Lepisosteus oculatus: one gene and its partner. The protein of the gene in region 2 interacts with the protein of the main gene of each other region in a pairwise test. Links are inferred from orthologs where the notes say so. Each region holds a gene or a part of one and is shown on either strand. Other genes may lie near its edges.

The links.
Region 1: the proteins of gad1a (region 2) and haao interact in a two-hybrid assay, tested with the Homo sapiens proteins (4 studies listed by BioGRID and IntAct). The two-hybrid records come from large-scale screens. The link is inferred for Lepisosteus oculatus from reciprocal best matches to the Homo sapiens genes GAD1 and HAAO.

The regions. Positions count from the first base shown.
Region 1 is NC_090712.1:14,665,845-14,674,009, reverse strand, and holds the start of haao (3-hydroxyanthranilate 3,4-dioxygenase), read right to left. Parts: upstream 3,307-8,165; 5' UTR 2,888-3,306; coding exon 2,799-2,887; intron 2,141-2,798; coding exon 2,062-2,140; intron 834-2,061; coding exon 750-833; intron 506-749; coding exon 399-505; intron 68-398; coding exon 1-67. UniProt on the Homo sapiens protein: Catalyzes the oxidative ring opening of 3-hydroxyanthranilate to 2-amino-3-carboxymuconate semialdehyde, which spontaneously cyclizes to quinolinate.
Region 2 is NC_090707.1:16,159,877-16,167,961, reverse strand, and holds the start of gad1a (glutamate decarboxylase 1), read right to left. Parts: upstream 3,821-8,085; 5' UTR 3,282-3,820; intron 2,333-3,281; exon of another isoform or gene 2,317-2,332; intron 1,993-2,316; 5' UTR 1,901-1,992; coding exon 1,825-1,900; intron 1-1,824.

The DNA of each region.
Region 1 (8,165 bases), on a different chromosome or scaffold from region 2:
GGTTCCCAGGTTTTCACAGTAGAACCACCTCTCAAAGAGCACATCTGTGGTGTTCTCAATGTAATACCTATTAAATCACAAAGCGATGTAGTCACCCGTACATTCTCTAGTACTCAAAAAGCTTTGTGTCTGTACTCTTCAAGCCTTAGCGCAATCTTTCCCAAAAAGAAAACTCAGGAAAATCTCAGGTGTGATTATAATCCTGTGGTTGTGGTAAGAAGCTTGACACAGTTCGGTCGTACACAACACAGCCACAGTTAGGATTGACTGCTGTTGGAAGTGATAATTTTTTGAGCACACCTTTACTGCCCTCTGGTGGAAAGAATTCCATTGGACCGATTATCACAGCTGCTGGAGCTGAGTCTGCCTGCAGAATGCTGGCTGAGGGGTCAGTGTACCTCAGACCATCGGTCTCTGACGGGAGCCTCCTCCTCTCCACCACCAGTCCCACAGTGTTGGCCTGCCTCTGTGGGGAGTGAGGGATCCGTGCGGGCAGCAGGAACATCTGCACACAACAGGCAACAATGACTGGACCTGCATTATCTTCACGTCTGCAGCAAAAAATGGAACTCCCTTTCGGGTGAAAGGCTTATTCACATCCTGCCACTATAACTGCAATGAACAAACATGAGATTCAATGTAGAACTTCACAATGACAGATGGAGGGACTGTGATTTGGAATCCGGAGGATTAATTACCCTAATAAATACTGCATGCTCAGCTCCTGAGGACATCTGATTGAGACTCACCTCCCCTTCTCGAATGTGCACGTCCTTGTGTTTCCCATTTTCAATCACCTTCAGACACATGTCCCCTTGGAGCTGGTAAAATAGCTGCAGCACAGAAATCTGAGTTGAGATGTTTGCTTAGACCACACAATGAAGTCACTTTCACCTTTTCCATGATAAGCAGAAGGATACTTCATTGTATTCAGTAATTACCTGGAGTGTGGGGTAATGCGAAGAGAAAGGTGTTTTTCAATGACGCTTGGTCTACTACACTTGCATAAACCTCCCTTTGTCAATAACAAAATGTTTGGATGCTATAGACATTTCCAATTTTGTTGCTCAGAGGAAAAGGGACACCACAGCTGGTTTGAATTTGAGCATGAAGTGGCAGTGCTGAGTTGAACTGCACAATTAGACAGCCGCATGGATTAATGGTTAGAGCTCTGTCCTCTCGACTGGAGGGTTGCAGGTCCAAATCCAGAGTGGAAAACTGTTACTGTATTATAGAGTAAGGTACTTGTCTCCAATTGCTCCAGTGAACGTGCTGCTCCAGGTTGTAAATGTGAATTTGTTCTCAATTTACTTGGTAATGTAAAGGAATAATAAAAAAAAAGAAACACTAGGAATTTAGGAAGTAGGACCCTATAAGCAATTGACATTTTATTGGCATACTGTGGGTTATAAACAGGCCAGTTCACTGTCCTGAAGATGAAATAAATTAAGTGCTTACCAATCATTCACCAAAAACGCCTCGGAAAAGAGGAACATGACAATGTACAAAACTTCTGAAAATTTTTGTGTGTCCTCAGAATACTTGAAAATGTGTCAGAACAGTGTATCAGCTACTGCATTTACAATTGCCACCACCGAGACAAATGACCCACATAGATATCGCAGGATTGCTTAAGGTCAATTTATGGCATCCACACGATAGTGACCTTTAGCTGATAATATGGGTATGAAGTCTCCTAGCTCACTTAATACTTTATCACAAAGATATACATCAAAAATTAATACTAGGGCTCCAGTTCACATACAGTCATACTCACAGGTATGGGTAAGTAATCCCTTTTTTACATCAAACAATTTGTATTTCTATTACTTACGTTAAAGAAACTGAGACTGAGAGATCACAATTTCTTGAAAAAAACCATTTTGATTTTGTAAAATGAAATGTGTTTATTAATGTTAAAAGTCACAACAGAAGCTGCACAATTATTACAGTCAAAGTTGTTTATGAGTGGCTCTCTAGGGAAAGAATTGACATTATTGATGAAGTCTGTCCATCCATCAGGCAACACATTTCACACTAACTGAGAATCAGGTTTCTCACCTCTTCTCCTTCTTCAATGTGATAGTCCTTCCTTGTGTTTGGGCCTCCTACAAACATGATGTTCAACTGGGAAATGTGCCTGCATGTAGAAAGAAGTGTATACATATATTACACATACAGTACAGTTACTTTGATTTCATGTCATGAATGATTTTCATGGATAAGGTGTGAATTCGAAAGAAACACAAACTATGATGTACAAAAAACTGAAACCCAGCATCAAATAGTATACTGTACATAGTGTAGATCGGGTTCACAGCACCTATTTTCTAAAAATAATTTAAAACTTAAATAGAAAACATAAATTTAAAGATTTAATCTCCAAAAAGAATATCATGCCAACTGTAACATTACTTGACAGATACCCTAAAGTTAAAGATAAGCGAATCAGAATCAGCGATAGGCGTTTCCTGTAGTTTAATCACTTGTTAATTTGGTGTTGACTGCACATAATACAGGCGCACTGACTGGGTGTCACGTTGGTATGAATATACAAGCCACTAAGATTTGCGTAAAACCATAACAACTGCAGTTGCAGTGTGTCAACGCAAAATTCTCAACTTAAGGGCAAAAAGAAAATCGTTGCCAGCATATGAGAAAAAAAAAATCACTTGTGTATCTCCTGTTGTTACATTATCTGCCCACACGAAATCATGGAGTTTTTGTTCCTTTGGCAGTTTTACCCTCTGGGGATACAAGCTGGGCACCTTCTCAAAGTACAGAAAGTTCTTACTCACATCAGTTTGTTGCACACAGGTGGAACGAAAGCTTCTTTGTTTTGTTCAATCCATTTTTGAACATTGACAAGCAGCGTTTCTGTGTCCATGAGTATATGCTTAATTCTATATTTCTAAGTACAGTGAACTTGAATTACAGCAGTGCACAAAATTCCCCTAAGAACTAAAACTGTATCTTTGGTCTTCTCAAAAGTTTTGATAAATTCAAAAAGACGGAATGAACATCTACACTACAGCTGGGTAGAAAGTACCATCGATTTACCAATACAGAACAGGAATTTCAAGTCAGAACGAGGGAGGAGTTTGTTTTTTCACCGTTTCGGAGGAAAGGTTAAATTCCATTTTTTTTTCCTCAGTAAGTTTTGAAACGGAATTATGGGCAGCAACGTAGAGCAAAGAAGCAAACAGTTCATTTCTGCAATAATTTAGACCCCTTCGTTTTTCGCTTTGGCTTAATTATTTAATTCAATAAATAACCGTTACCCTTGCGATTAAGAAGGACGTAAAAACATCCAACTGTTGCAAAGCCCAGTTCATATTGTTAAATATCCACGTAAATCAACATGCATTTATGACGTATGACGTACAATACACCGCCCACCACCACCCACTCTTTCTGTCTTACTTTCTTTATAACCCTAGGTTTCTAAGAATAATGCAGTGCAATCTGAAATTTTACCGTGCTCAATAATATACTTGTATATGGAAGTTTTAAAACTGTATTTTGAAGCATTTGTACTGTAGTTAAGACAGTTAAAGTCAGTGAATACTGTGTGGTTAAAACGTTTTCTAACCCTCTTAGTCATACGACCTTGTCCATTGTGCAATCTTGATGCACACTTCTATAATCAACAACTAGAGAGTAAAGGCCAGTTTGTGTGACTCACCCCAGTTCCCCTTTCTTTTAGTTACTTCGTTAGGACTAAACGGAATAGGGAAGACAGTGTGTAGCCAGAAAGACGAGAGGAAAATTCCCAGGGGGTTCCTCAATAAAGTATTTTTCATTAAAAAAACACGAATGTCTTACATTTCACCAAGTATGCGGCCTGCGAATGTGCTTAACATAATACTGAATAGTAAAGTCTAGGCTTTGACTTACTCGCAAGCTCGCTTTACTTAAATTGTCAGTGCGCCTGCATACTGAATAAATACAGCATGTAACAATTAGTAATTGGAAGCCAAGGTTGTGAAATTTGAAAACACAGTGACCTTGAAGGTATTATTGACGAGGTCTGGGCCGATAAGATGGTGAAAGTAGGACAGACTGTCACAGCTTGCCTTTGAGAGCTCTGGAACCTTAAAATGAGGCCGGCATACTGTATACTCCTTCCTTTTAAGCTTCACTAGTGTTATTTTTCTTTTAGCAATAATCTTAAATAAGTTACTAAACATATATTTTTTCCAAGTTAAACGGTAGACATCAAATGAAACCAAAATAATTGATTATGGCAGAACCCCCTACTGGTGGTCAGATTGATTCAATTATTTGTTGGCTCTGTAAACTACAGTACGTGTGCTGAAACAGAGGCGAAGGTTTTCTGTCCTGAAGAGGGTTCGTGACATCTCACAAACAAGGAATGGACTAAAAACGTAGCACACATAAACAGACACATAACACACAGTAGACATACTGTATTGGCATCTATGAAACAACATGTAATTGAATGTAAATGAAGATACAAGAATACACCAACGTTACACAAATCCCTTCTATCATACTTAGAACAGATTACATTTATTACATTTAAATAAGACTGCATTCAAGTAGCTTAAAGACTCAAACACATTCTGGAAATGTGACACAGAAAAATTCCTCTACGTAATATCCATGCAATTATAATTTTAATAAGGACGGAAAATAACATGTATTTGCTCTGCACCCGATCAAACCAATGATCTTTACTACTACAGTACTGTAATTTTAAAACACGACGATAGCTGTCGTTTTTAAAGGATACGCGTGTCTGCGGCGTCTGCTGGCGAGGCGCTGTAACTGCAGTTTTGAAGCTTCTAACCTTAAATAAGAGATCAGTAATTTAGGGGTTTTCTTGTGTTTGTAAATGTACGGAACAGGGAAATATATATTTTAATCTATTTTAACGGAAATCATGTAGAGTTAACGTGACAGCATTTCAGCTCTCGAGGGAAAACGGTGCTTGGAGCTCAGTTTGAGGCGGCCCAGAGCTTTGCAGCCTTTTTTCATCTTTAAGAAAATTCGTATTGGACATTTTAAATATGTATAGTGCGCTGGTGCAGTTATCTGTGGTACATGATTGCTATCTGTACTATGTATTCTCGCAATACCGTACTTTAGGTTATAACAGCTCATGGGATGAGGATTATGAAATGATATTTTTCATGTGCAAAGGTTAGATAGCGACGAAAGCAATACGAATTGCAATTTTATGCACTTTTCAAATATTTAATAGACATAATTTTGGTCGCGGAAATGACATTTTAAAAGTTATTTTATGAGTGTTAAAATATACAGTCATAACGAAGTTGAATGTTTTAAGTGGTTGTTTACGGCCGTAAAGGGGCTTGTTTATAAAACAGTTGCCTGGTGGGCTTTTAGAGCTCTACCGTATTTCACAGAGATCCAAAATATGAAACAGTGATGCAAAAACAAAAGGTCCAAAACACATTTAAACACATAGCGATCTGTCGCTGGAGTACAGGCTATGTTGCCTTGTGCTGCACGATACTATTGGAGCTCCAGTGGCGCAATCGGTTAGCGCGCGGTACTTATATAGCAGTACAAAGCAGAGCAATGCCGAGGTTGTGAGTTCGAGCCTCACCTGGAGCAGGTCTTTTTTTTTATACACTCTTAAAAGAGCTTAGTAGTTAGAATCTCTAAGATTTGTCTGCGTGTATTTTTAAAAAGTGGTGAATTGTATGCAATCGTGTTTTTCTGTTTCGCCGATAAACCGAGTATTAATCACTGATACTATTTTAAAATCCCCTAAACAATCCAAACATTCCAGAGGGATAATGCTGAGCAATAAACGACAATTTAAAAAAGGCAAATGAGGGAATGATACTAAACAGGATAAATTCATGCCTTTATTTCATAATGTAAATAGCAACATAACAGTAAGACATTGTAAAAAAATCGTATTTACTACACGACAATGTTTAAGAACTACATTTTGTACAAGTAGTTCAAGTAGGTAGCTATGTCAGCATACCCGAAGAAAGATCCACATCCGAAACGTTGTTTCTTTTCTTCTCTTTACTGCATGAAATAAACATTTATTCGTTCCTTATTTTGTAGGACCCCATCATTTTCCCACTTATTGTGAAGTCCGCTATGCAACAATGAAATTCAACTCAACTCAAAATACTTACTTGAAATACAAAATCTAGCTTCCTCTACCACGAATGAAATTTGTTACATTATACAGACAACACTTTGGGGCTGAACCCTCTAGTTACAACTGCTCTCAATACTCCAGTCCATTAAGGGTATTGTGAGGGCCGTTTGATTGCTTTCTGATTTCTCAACAATACCACAGTTAATACAATTTCGTAATGGAACCATATCTAGTTAATTGTATTCCCATTTAATAATTTCTTAAACTTAAATTCAAAACACCAATATGCGAAAAGTCCGGGTGTAAACTCTCTTGTGTTCAGTGCACGTCTTGAAAATGTCGGTCCGTTCTTGATGTTTCTTTGTATCCAGCAGGGGGAGCTGTCAGCACACTCCAAGAGAAAATATGGCACAATAAAAATATTACACAAAAGCCTAGTAGGGAATTGTAAAGCTCTTTGAAATTGTACTTGGTTTAGAAAGTACACAATCTTCCAGTTGACCACATTGCACGATTATGCAAGAACAACCTCTCTTCTGCGCGATTAGTTGATTTAATTAGTTGTTGGCAGTGCCAAGCGCCTATATTTTACATTCAGGAGTTTGATGTCTGATTCTTTATTTTTGTGGAGCCTATACTGTAGTGTACAAAATAAAAGACAGAAAAATTAAAGACTCTTGCACTGAATACAAGGTTCAATTAAAATTATCATTAAGTGTTTTTTTTTTACATTTAAACCTTATGTACATAACAAAATCTAAATGAGAGGGTTTTATGTTCAGAACTTCCTCAGTTCTTTTGAGGGAACCAGAGACTTGGACAATGTCTCCGAGTTATTCTTCTTGTTAACGTTTTGTATCGCTTGGCCATTAGAGCCAGCTTTGTTTTCATTTGGGTTTCTTGTTGTGGATGCAAATAGATGCATGTGCACATCATATCTGGATAATGTTTAGGAATAAAAGAGGTGTAATCCTTCTTTTAACCTTGAAGGGTGCAGTTATTTGATGGTAGGAGCAGTTAGGAGCGTAAGGGAAGCTATTTATATCCCTCCCTGGGCTGGCAAGGACAGGGACAGGACTATTTCTGAAGCAAGGCCAGCCTGTCTGTGCTCTCAGAGTGCAGCCTCAAGGATTGTGGGTCCTTGACTGACTTGGTTGGACATGGTGGTGTGCCACAGACAAAGAGGGAAAACATTTTTCCCAGCTTATTTAGACTGGGAGGCAAAGATAAAGACTCCATGTTTTATTTTCAAACATGTACTTTATATAGACATTTTAGAAGTCAGTATCTTACTGTAAACTCCAGGTCTCTTGCCATTACTTTGAGGACCACAATAACTACATTACTTTCTTCCCCCTGTAGTGCAGTGTTGATGAATTACTGGTGAATTCAGTAATTCAGTTCCATATTCCTTACTAAATACCTTCTGTAGGGGTCTTTACACAAATGAACAATCTCATTCTTCAGTGCTGCTGCTTTGTACCTTATCCTGCTCATGTCCTAACACATTGTATAAGGGGAAGGTTTGCAATTCTAATAAATGTTGGTCTGATATTCAAATGAAAGAATTTGAAGCCAATGGTAAATAATTATGTGCAATAGAAGGTGTTTTTGCCTGACCTGCTATAACTTGTGGCATTCTAATGAATGATCAACTGACTGGCAATTGTGTGTGCCAGCTGGGAAATATGAATCCCTTAAATCTACACCCTCTGGTTGGTACACAGGTGATACTGCTGTTAGAGCTTGAATGTGCAGTCACTTTTGTTATTGATTATGGAGTCATTAGGCCCAGGCTGAGATTTCTGTGTCTGTCCTTTAGGACTTTTGTTGTGAAGACCTGCAGGGAAAAGTCCCTTAGCCTTGTGTGCTAGCAAGTGGCCATTAAGTTATAGTCAAACAACTTTAGAGCTCATTTCATCAGTTCCACACAGGTGTTTTACTAATATTTTTTTCTTCGTACTCAAAAAAGAAGCAGCCTCCTATAAGTGCCAATAACAGTCCCAGCATTTCAGGACTGTTTATAAAATGCCATCCTTCCAGAAATACAGTA
Region 2 (8,085 bases):
ATATTAACTTATGAATATGTCGTCTCCTGATGGACACAAGCACATGGCGTTCACTTAACGTTTTTTTTCTGTTTCGCTTTGGTATATGTGATATGGATATTTAAATAAATCAATATCACATCACTAAAACCGAAAATAAAATATCTGGTTTTAATGGCATTTTTAAAAATTGTATAAAGAGAATGCGTGCCAGCAAGCACCATTCACATTGCGATAAAGCCATAACACAAACATGAGGCAGAAATAAATTCTCAAACGATATACAAAGGCGCGAAATCATGGAAATCTGGAAAAAAAATACATAATAGACTTAATTTGATCACGTAACGCTTAATTGCGATGGCGATTGTAATTAGTAATTACTAACCACAGCAATATTTCGTTGAATGGTATATGGTTCTAAACTTAGCTAAAATATTCCACTTTGTGTCTATAATGTTGTTGTGTCGATTTATTTTAATATCAGCGTCCTCATACGGTACATTATTGCGCCTAGAATGGAACAGCGGTAATGCCTGTGTCTACCTTTCAGCTTGTGTTCGTGTTCTTGCTTTGCAGTCCCTAGCAAAAGGCTGGGTGGCGACAATGCGATCCCCTGGCCAGCCTCAGGTCAGCGATAAAGCGTGATAAAGTAAGATAATGACAGACTACGAGAGGCAGCAGACAGAAACACGCACACACACACACAAAACCACAGAGTCTTCATTTTAAGAGGGTAAACAAACGGAATAAAAACAAAATATTAATTTACACCCGATTTGATGCATCAACTAAATCCTTAAACGAGCCCCTTTCTCGGTATCATTATATTCTGTATTTTAAATAGATGTGTTTATATAGACTTATATTTTTGGATTGAAGCTCAGAAAGCACTCTCTAGACAGGTCTATAACGATATGTAGACGTGACACACTTTCGTCTTTTTCCTATTAGGAAGAAACAGGGAGATTTTTGCTTCGATTTTTTTTCCGTCTAGAAAGGCAGCATTTATCAAGCTGATGCGGACCGTCTCTTTTATTCTGCCATTGTGTGAGGTAATTATGTCATCGAATCTTTTTTTCCCCCCTTTGCTGTAGCTGATTGTGAAAATTGTTGAGGCAGAACTGTTAGCCGTTTATTACTATCTTCTGCATCCGCTCCATTCCAGTGACACTTCAATAACTCAGCGCAAACCCGGAGCCATTAGGGGCAATTCAGTGCAGCTATAATTAGCGCCACTTTTCACATAATTACACTTTGAACCACTCACTCAAATGTTTTAAGATACCAAGCAAAGAGCAGAAAAAGGGCAAGAGAATACTTACTAAAAATATTAATTTTATTTCCGGACCGTGTGCGTTCACATATACAAAACTGCACAACAAGAACAGAAATGATGGAGAGAATTGAAATCATGATGGAAATAACATAAATCAAGACCCACTAGCAATTTCTCCCAAATTTATAGCCCCGAAAAAAAAGGAAACAATTCTGAACATGCGTCCAATTCAACCTACATCTGTTTGTAGCACATACAGGCTACAATATTTCTAGACTAACAATTCTGGTTTGACAGTTTGGTCGGATGACTGGATTTTCACTTCACTTTTCATTCTGTTCTAGAATTTTCCATGTTTATTTTTTGGCTTTTAGTTGCATTAGCACATCTTCTGTTCTGAGACCAGAGTTAGTGTCGAGTCTGCTCTCTATTCGCTCTGGTGTCGCGATTTGTCAGATAGGAGGGATTTCGAATTTGGCTCTTTTTATTTTCGGTCCGTGATTAATGACACTGACTAGGGAGTAAATAGCACACGTGAAATAGCGTTTTATCTGCGATAGACCTACTTGTGGATGGCGGTCGTAAATTAGTCGAGTTGGGATCCGGAGCGCCGCCAGAGGAAGAAGGTGCAGACGACGCCATCAGTCCTCAGATACAAAAGTCCTGGCTCCAGTACGTGCTGTCACTTTCTCCGAAACCTGTCTTAATTCACCAAGATGAAAAGTTGCGGTTAACTGCAAGGAGAGGACAGGGCATTTTTAAAACCGCTGGAACAAAGCACAGGAATATAGACGATTACATAGAATATCTATTACTACGATTGTCTACATTAATGTAACATGAAACAAAACGCTGAATTTATATGCTGTTAGTTTCAAACGGTTGCATTGCAGCTAGTCCGACGGAAAATAATAAAAAAAACGCATAACTCCTCAGCAGTCGTGGTCATACTTCACTGAAACGGGCTCATTTATTTCCACCTAATAGAAACTCAGGTGGTTCTGACGTGACCAACTAGACTGCTGTGTAGTCTTCGCGTCTAACCCCACATAGTTCACCTTCCAAGGCTGAGCAAAACACTGAGATGCATACTGAAATGTTGCTTTAACAGCCTCTATAAATGTTGATGTTCAGACTCATTACGTGGAATCCCAACCAGAATGCCCTGGTTGCATATTTGATCAACGAATACTCCCCAGTACAGCCATGATATCAGTAGGTGTATTTCGGCGAGACAGAATAATATAAATACCCCTGCCTTCTTTTAAATTACTGTACGTCCTGTCTGTAGATAATGGAGCTGGTGTAGCAGACTGTAAAATCAATCTTAATTATAGCAATATGCTAAATGCAAGTCAAATCTAACCTTTTATAGCACTGTTCTTGATAAATCTGAAAAAATGCCATATATTAAGGTTAAGTTTTTTTAAACTTTCCGCAATCTTCGAATTACTTATTTATTCATCGAGCATACATTGGCTTATTATTATTATTTGGTTCGATAGATCAGAGGAAAATTGTTTCTGCGCAACACAAATGAAGAATGAGTTAATTGATGTCGTGGTTAATGCTGTCCAGAAATGCAGACTTCATAAAGATATGGGGAAAATAGCACGTTTATGTATGATTACGATTCAATTCTGTCAATAATTACCACAGCATGACAAATTATTATTCATTGCTTACCCCAAAACAAATAAATAATGCACCTCAGAGTTTACGAATTTTGTTCCAGACTTGTCTTAATACTCCAGTAATTTAATGTGTTATACTAATTAAGATCTTAGACTACTTCATGTCTGTCTAGGTGCTGGTGACTATTTGTCCGTTATTAGATTTTTTACTCCCGTTTCACAAATCTATAATGAGCAGTTGATTTAGCATTATGTGATGGATGCTTATTTCCCACAGAGCTTTTAATCATGCAAGAGTCGTAAATCATAGATATGATACTTTTTAAAAGAGTATTCTCAGACTCATTAAATGTGATGCGATAACAGATAATCTTAAAGCTGTATCTTACCTTTTTCTGCGTCCAGGCAGGTACACAGGTAGCAGAGTCCAAGAAACTCTCTCAAAACAACCAAATTACAGCCTTATAGCCATGCAACGTTAAGGGCGTTTATAACACTCCAAGGAAAACGACGTCTGAATATCAATAGACTGCAAAAATTCCATTCACTATGACCTTTTTTGCTGAAGTACGTTTGATTTGCTGTTTTAAAGCGTGAATCGCCTATTTATCCGTTACTACGCACGCATGAGTCACACCAACACCTCCTCTGGTGCTGAAAGGGGTTCTTCCAATATCGAACAGATCCGCTTTGTCTGCTAAAATCACGGAAAGCTGTGTCGCTATTCGGTGATAACGTGACTTTTTTTTGCAGGTGTTTGATTGCCTTTGGGGCTTTGTACCTCGATTATGAATCCCGATCACGAAGATGGACTTGGGAAGTTTGACCCTGTGAGTAACACAGTACGTAGTCAACACGTCTCATTTATTTGTGAGAGGAAGGACGGAAGGTTCAGACACCAAAGTGTTTGGTCATCACGAAGACGATCCTAACAACAGAACACCAACAAAACTATTATGATCAAATAATGATTTGAAGCTGTGCCACGGATGAGAAAAAAATACTGTAGACCAAATTCGTCATGATATCAATAAACTTTTGATGTGTTAATTTGGATAATGTGAAATTTCTCCCAGGAAAATAGGTTGAATTCTTTACAGGCTTCAGACATTAATGCTGGGACAAGATATTTAATACAGACTGTTGCTTTTTCATCTGGGATGAGTGTACCAGTTAGAAATTGTGCGTCTTGCCGTAAGACACAGAGACTGTAAAAATGTCCGCAGGATGGCACTAGAGATTCACTTAACCCAGGCTTGGCGGCGTTTCTTACAAAAACAGTGATCTCTAGTCTTTCAGCATAGATTTTTCTGACACTCAGCAAACATAATTGTTATAAACAAAGAACGAATATGATTCGTGCACTGGAAGTCAGGTAAGATTATGTTTTATTGTTGTTGAAGGGATTATAATGCAGCAGATAAATGACAAACCATAAAATGCTCAACGTAATTCTAAGAATAATAATTAAGTTAAGGAGATCCCTCCCACACATCTGGTTCAGTTTTAATTATTATTATATATTTAAAATATTTAAATACACAGAAAATGCAAAAATACTGAAAGGGAAATGAACGAAAATACGATTTTGGTAAACCACCAGACCCCCAATCTGCAACATCGAAAGTTCGTGACTAAGATTAAGATGCTAAACCAAACATTCCCGTTTATTAGAACAATGACTTAGATCAAGTTACTAACGGCATTTCTATTTCTCTCAAAAGTAGCAGTTGTGTATCATGACATGCTTTCGACTGTACGTTTTGCCTAAATGATTGTAGTACTGAGTTTGTAGACAATTAATTGAAGCGTTGAATGCAATTAAATATTAAATAAACTAATTTGGACTGCACAGCAGCCTTAAGGGTTTTTTTAAAAAAGAGTTTGCACTGACACATACACAATAAAACAGCCTTTGACCATGGCTGTAATAAATATTCAGACGCTCTTTTTGTGGTCATGTGAGGAGCGCTGTTCGTAATGTGTTCAGCACTTGGACAGCTCCCCACAAGTTTGACGAGATGAAAACAGCCGTTTGTATCGTCGCAAACGGTTAGCGTACATTTGCAGCAACCTGTGAAATCGCCTATAAACTGTAGGAAAACATATAATGGGCTTGAGGCAAGAATTTCGACTACAATTTAAATGAGGGAAAGACAATTGTAGATAACCGTCATAATTATTGTATCCCTGTTTTGAAAACGGGATAACTGTAAAGAAAAATGCTCATTTTCATTTTATTATCCCTTGGGCCACGCAGGATGAAAGCAGATAACAGGGTCTCGGCGACGTTACTATAGATTGTGGACTGGTTTCTGGCTTGTGGCTACTTATTCATGTAAAATATTACTCTGATGCGACTTCTATGTAAAAATATTCGCCTTTCAGAATACCAAAACCATTGTGTGGATGTAATTCGTGCTCTGTATTATAAGCACAATTCAGTTTGTGGACTAGCACTCCAGTAGATGGTGCTCGTTCATGTTTTATTTTTTAAATCAACCAATAGACTTTCAGAGTACAAAAAAATACAAACCAAGCAGGCCTGATTTATTGTTCCAGACAATAATAAGCTCGGTCACATGGAGCCATGTGCTGATATGAACCCAAGAGAACTGGGTTAACGTGATGAGCATGAGGCATCACACTTTTCCAAGGCAACAAACAACCAATCTAAAATGCTGCACTGGGTCCAAAAGGGATCTAATAGCTGGGATGGATATACTGCTCAAAGCAACAAAAAAATCCACAAAAACCCTGCAGACAGTTCACAATAATTTCTGAAACATTTAAAGTAGGTTTAAATGATCTATAATTCTGTATTAGAACTGAGCAAAAAACAGACCAAATTGTTATTAATCTTTTGTATGAGAACATAGGAAAGGTTACATTAGATCCATCTAGCCTGTTTGGTAGTTCAGTAGTTAATTAATTTGGGGAGCTCACACAGTTGTTCTTAGAATAAAAAACAGGGTATTGGCTTCAGCAACATGGCTGGGTAGTTTTTAACATGGTAAAATCCCTGGATTTAAATTAGGCTTTTTAAACTATATATCCTAATATTTTGTTTGCCTTTTTAAATTGCTTCCCCACATTGCTGATGCAACATTTACATTTCCTAGACATAAACACTTAAGTACCTTTCATCAGGAGCCACGTTTCATTCATTGTTTCTCATTTTGTATTCATGTTACAGTTTTAGGACCTACAGTACATGCGGTATCCTTACACAAACCTACATAAAGGTCACCTGACAGTCGTAAATTTCATCAGTTCTTCTTGAATTTCATCTGCTACTTCTACAGTGTTTGCTGTTGTTCCTAATTTTGTATAATCTGCAAACCTGCTTAGATAATAATTCTGGAATATAGATTGTTGAAATGAATTAAGATCAGCAGTGGTCCCTGTACAGATCCCTGTGGTACTCCACTAATTACACCATCCCAATCTGAGTACCCATCCCTTATTTATACCCTCGACTTGGTATTTAATAACCAATTCTCAGCTCACACACTCTATATGCTCCGAATACCTACCACCTACAATTTGAGACTTAATCTTCTATGGGGAAGTTTATCAAAACACTTCTAAAAATCAAAATATCATATGCTCCATGTATGTCCATTACGGTTATTGCTTGCTCAAATTAACAAAATGGCTGCCTTTTCCAAATCCATACTGATTTTTTCCTTGGATATTACTCTCATATAGTTGATCCTCTAGTTTAGTTCTTACAATTGGTTCCTTACCTAACATGTAACCTTACATGTAATCTGATTTATTGGTCTGTAATTACTTCGTTCAATTGCTCATACCTTTTTATGAATGGAAACTATATTAGCCGTTCTCCAGTCCCTGGGTACTACCCTTGTCTTGAGCAACTGTTGGTTCCATCAATGGCTTCTGGATAACTCTCATTTCCTTGATTACAATAAGTAAAATACCATCAAGCCCTGGCAATTTATTAATATTGGGTGCTTCTCCTTCTTCTATTGAATACAGAACGTTGTCCTTCCTCTGCCTGACTTCCCTTAGGTAAATACAGTACCAGAGTAATTCAATACATCAGCATTTCCCTTTCATTGTCTAGAAGTTTACCATTTTTTCTATATACACTTTATTTTGATTCTTCTGAAGGTGTGTCACAGAAATACCTTATTTGAGCCTCAATTCAAACAAGCATTTAGATGCCTCTCTTGCCCTTTCAAATATCCCTTTTAACCTGTGGTTGGAATACATGGTACTTTTATTCCTTTAACTGGAGCCTGTTGGTTTTAATATCATACCATTGTGATACCTTTGGTTGGAGTGTTTTTTTTCCTCTCTAATTGCTGTCTCCTCTTTTTCCAGGTGTTGCCAATTAATTAATTAAGTAGATGGTGGGAGCATTTAAAAGGGGAAGACAAGGGGGCCCTGGGAGATCGGATATGGGGAGCGGAGATAGTGGAGTGGTGTGTGGTTTTTGGGATGGGGAAAGAGGCGTTGTACGTTTCCTTTTGTTTTCATTTTGGTTTGTTTAGTTAGTGTAGATAAGTGTAGAATGTGGAAGACTTTTGGAGGGGGGTACAGCCTTATTGTTTAGGCACGACCACCTTTTTTCCCCACCTATTGAGTTTATTTTTCTTTTACTGTCAGTTTTGTTTGGATTTTTCCTTTTTTTTTGTCCCAATTTGAATATGAACATTGACTTCTGGTTCCCTGGATTTGTGATAAGAAAATCAATTTGTTTTCCCCAGAGGAATCTGATCTCTCGGGTGTTCTCTTTATGTTGTGGCTTTTGGTCAAACCCTAGACATTTTTAAGGTCATGACAACCACGTCACCCTGCGACTCACAACTGGCAACCCTCTGAAGCAGAGCAGGGGCGAGCCTGGTCTGTACCTGGATGGGAGGCCTCCTGGGAAAAACTGTTTGCTGCTGAAAGAGGTGTTAGAGGGGCCAGCAGGGGGGTGCTCACCCCACATGATACCTAATGCCCCAGTGTAAAATAAAGGATAAAATCCTTGAAGGAAATTGGAGTTATTCAAACCAGCTCAGTACACAGAGCAACGTTAAGTGCCTGAAAAGCACTCCCAGTTCCCAGTGACCACTTTACCATTAAGGGATTCTTTGCCCTAATTAAATTTAGTACGGGGGCTGCAACTGTAGCAGACCTAGAAATAAACCATTGATAGTACCTGGTGAAATGCCCTCA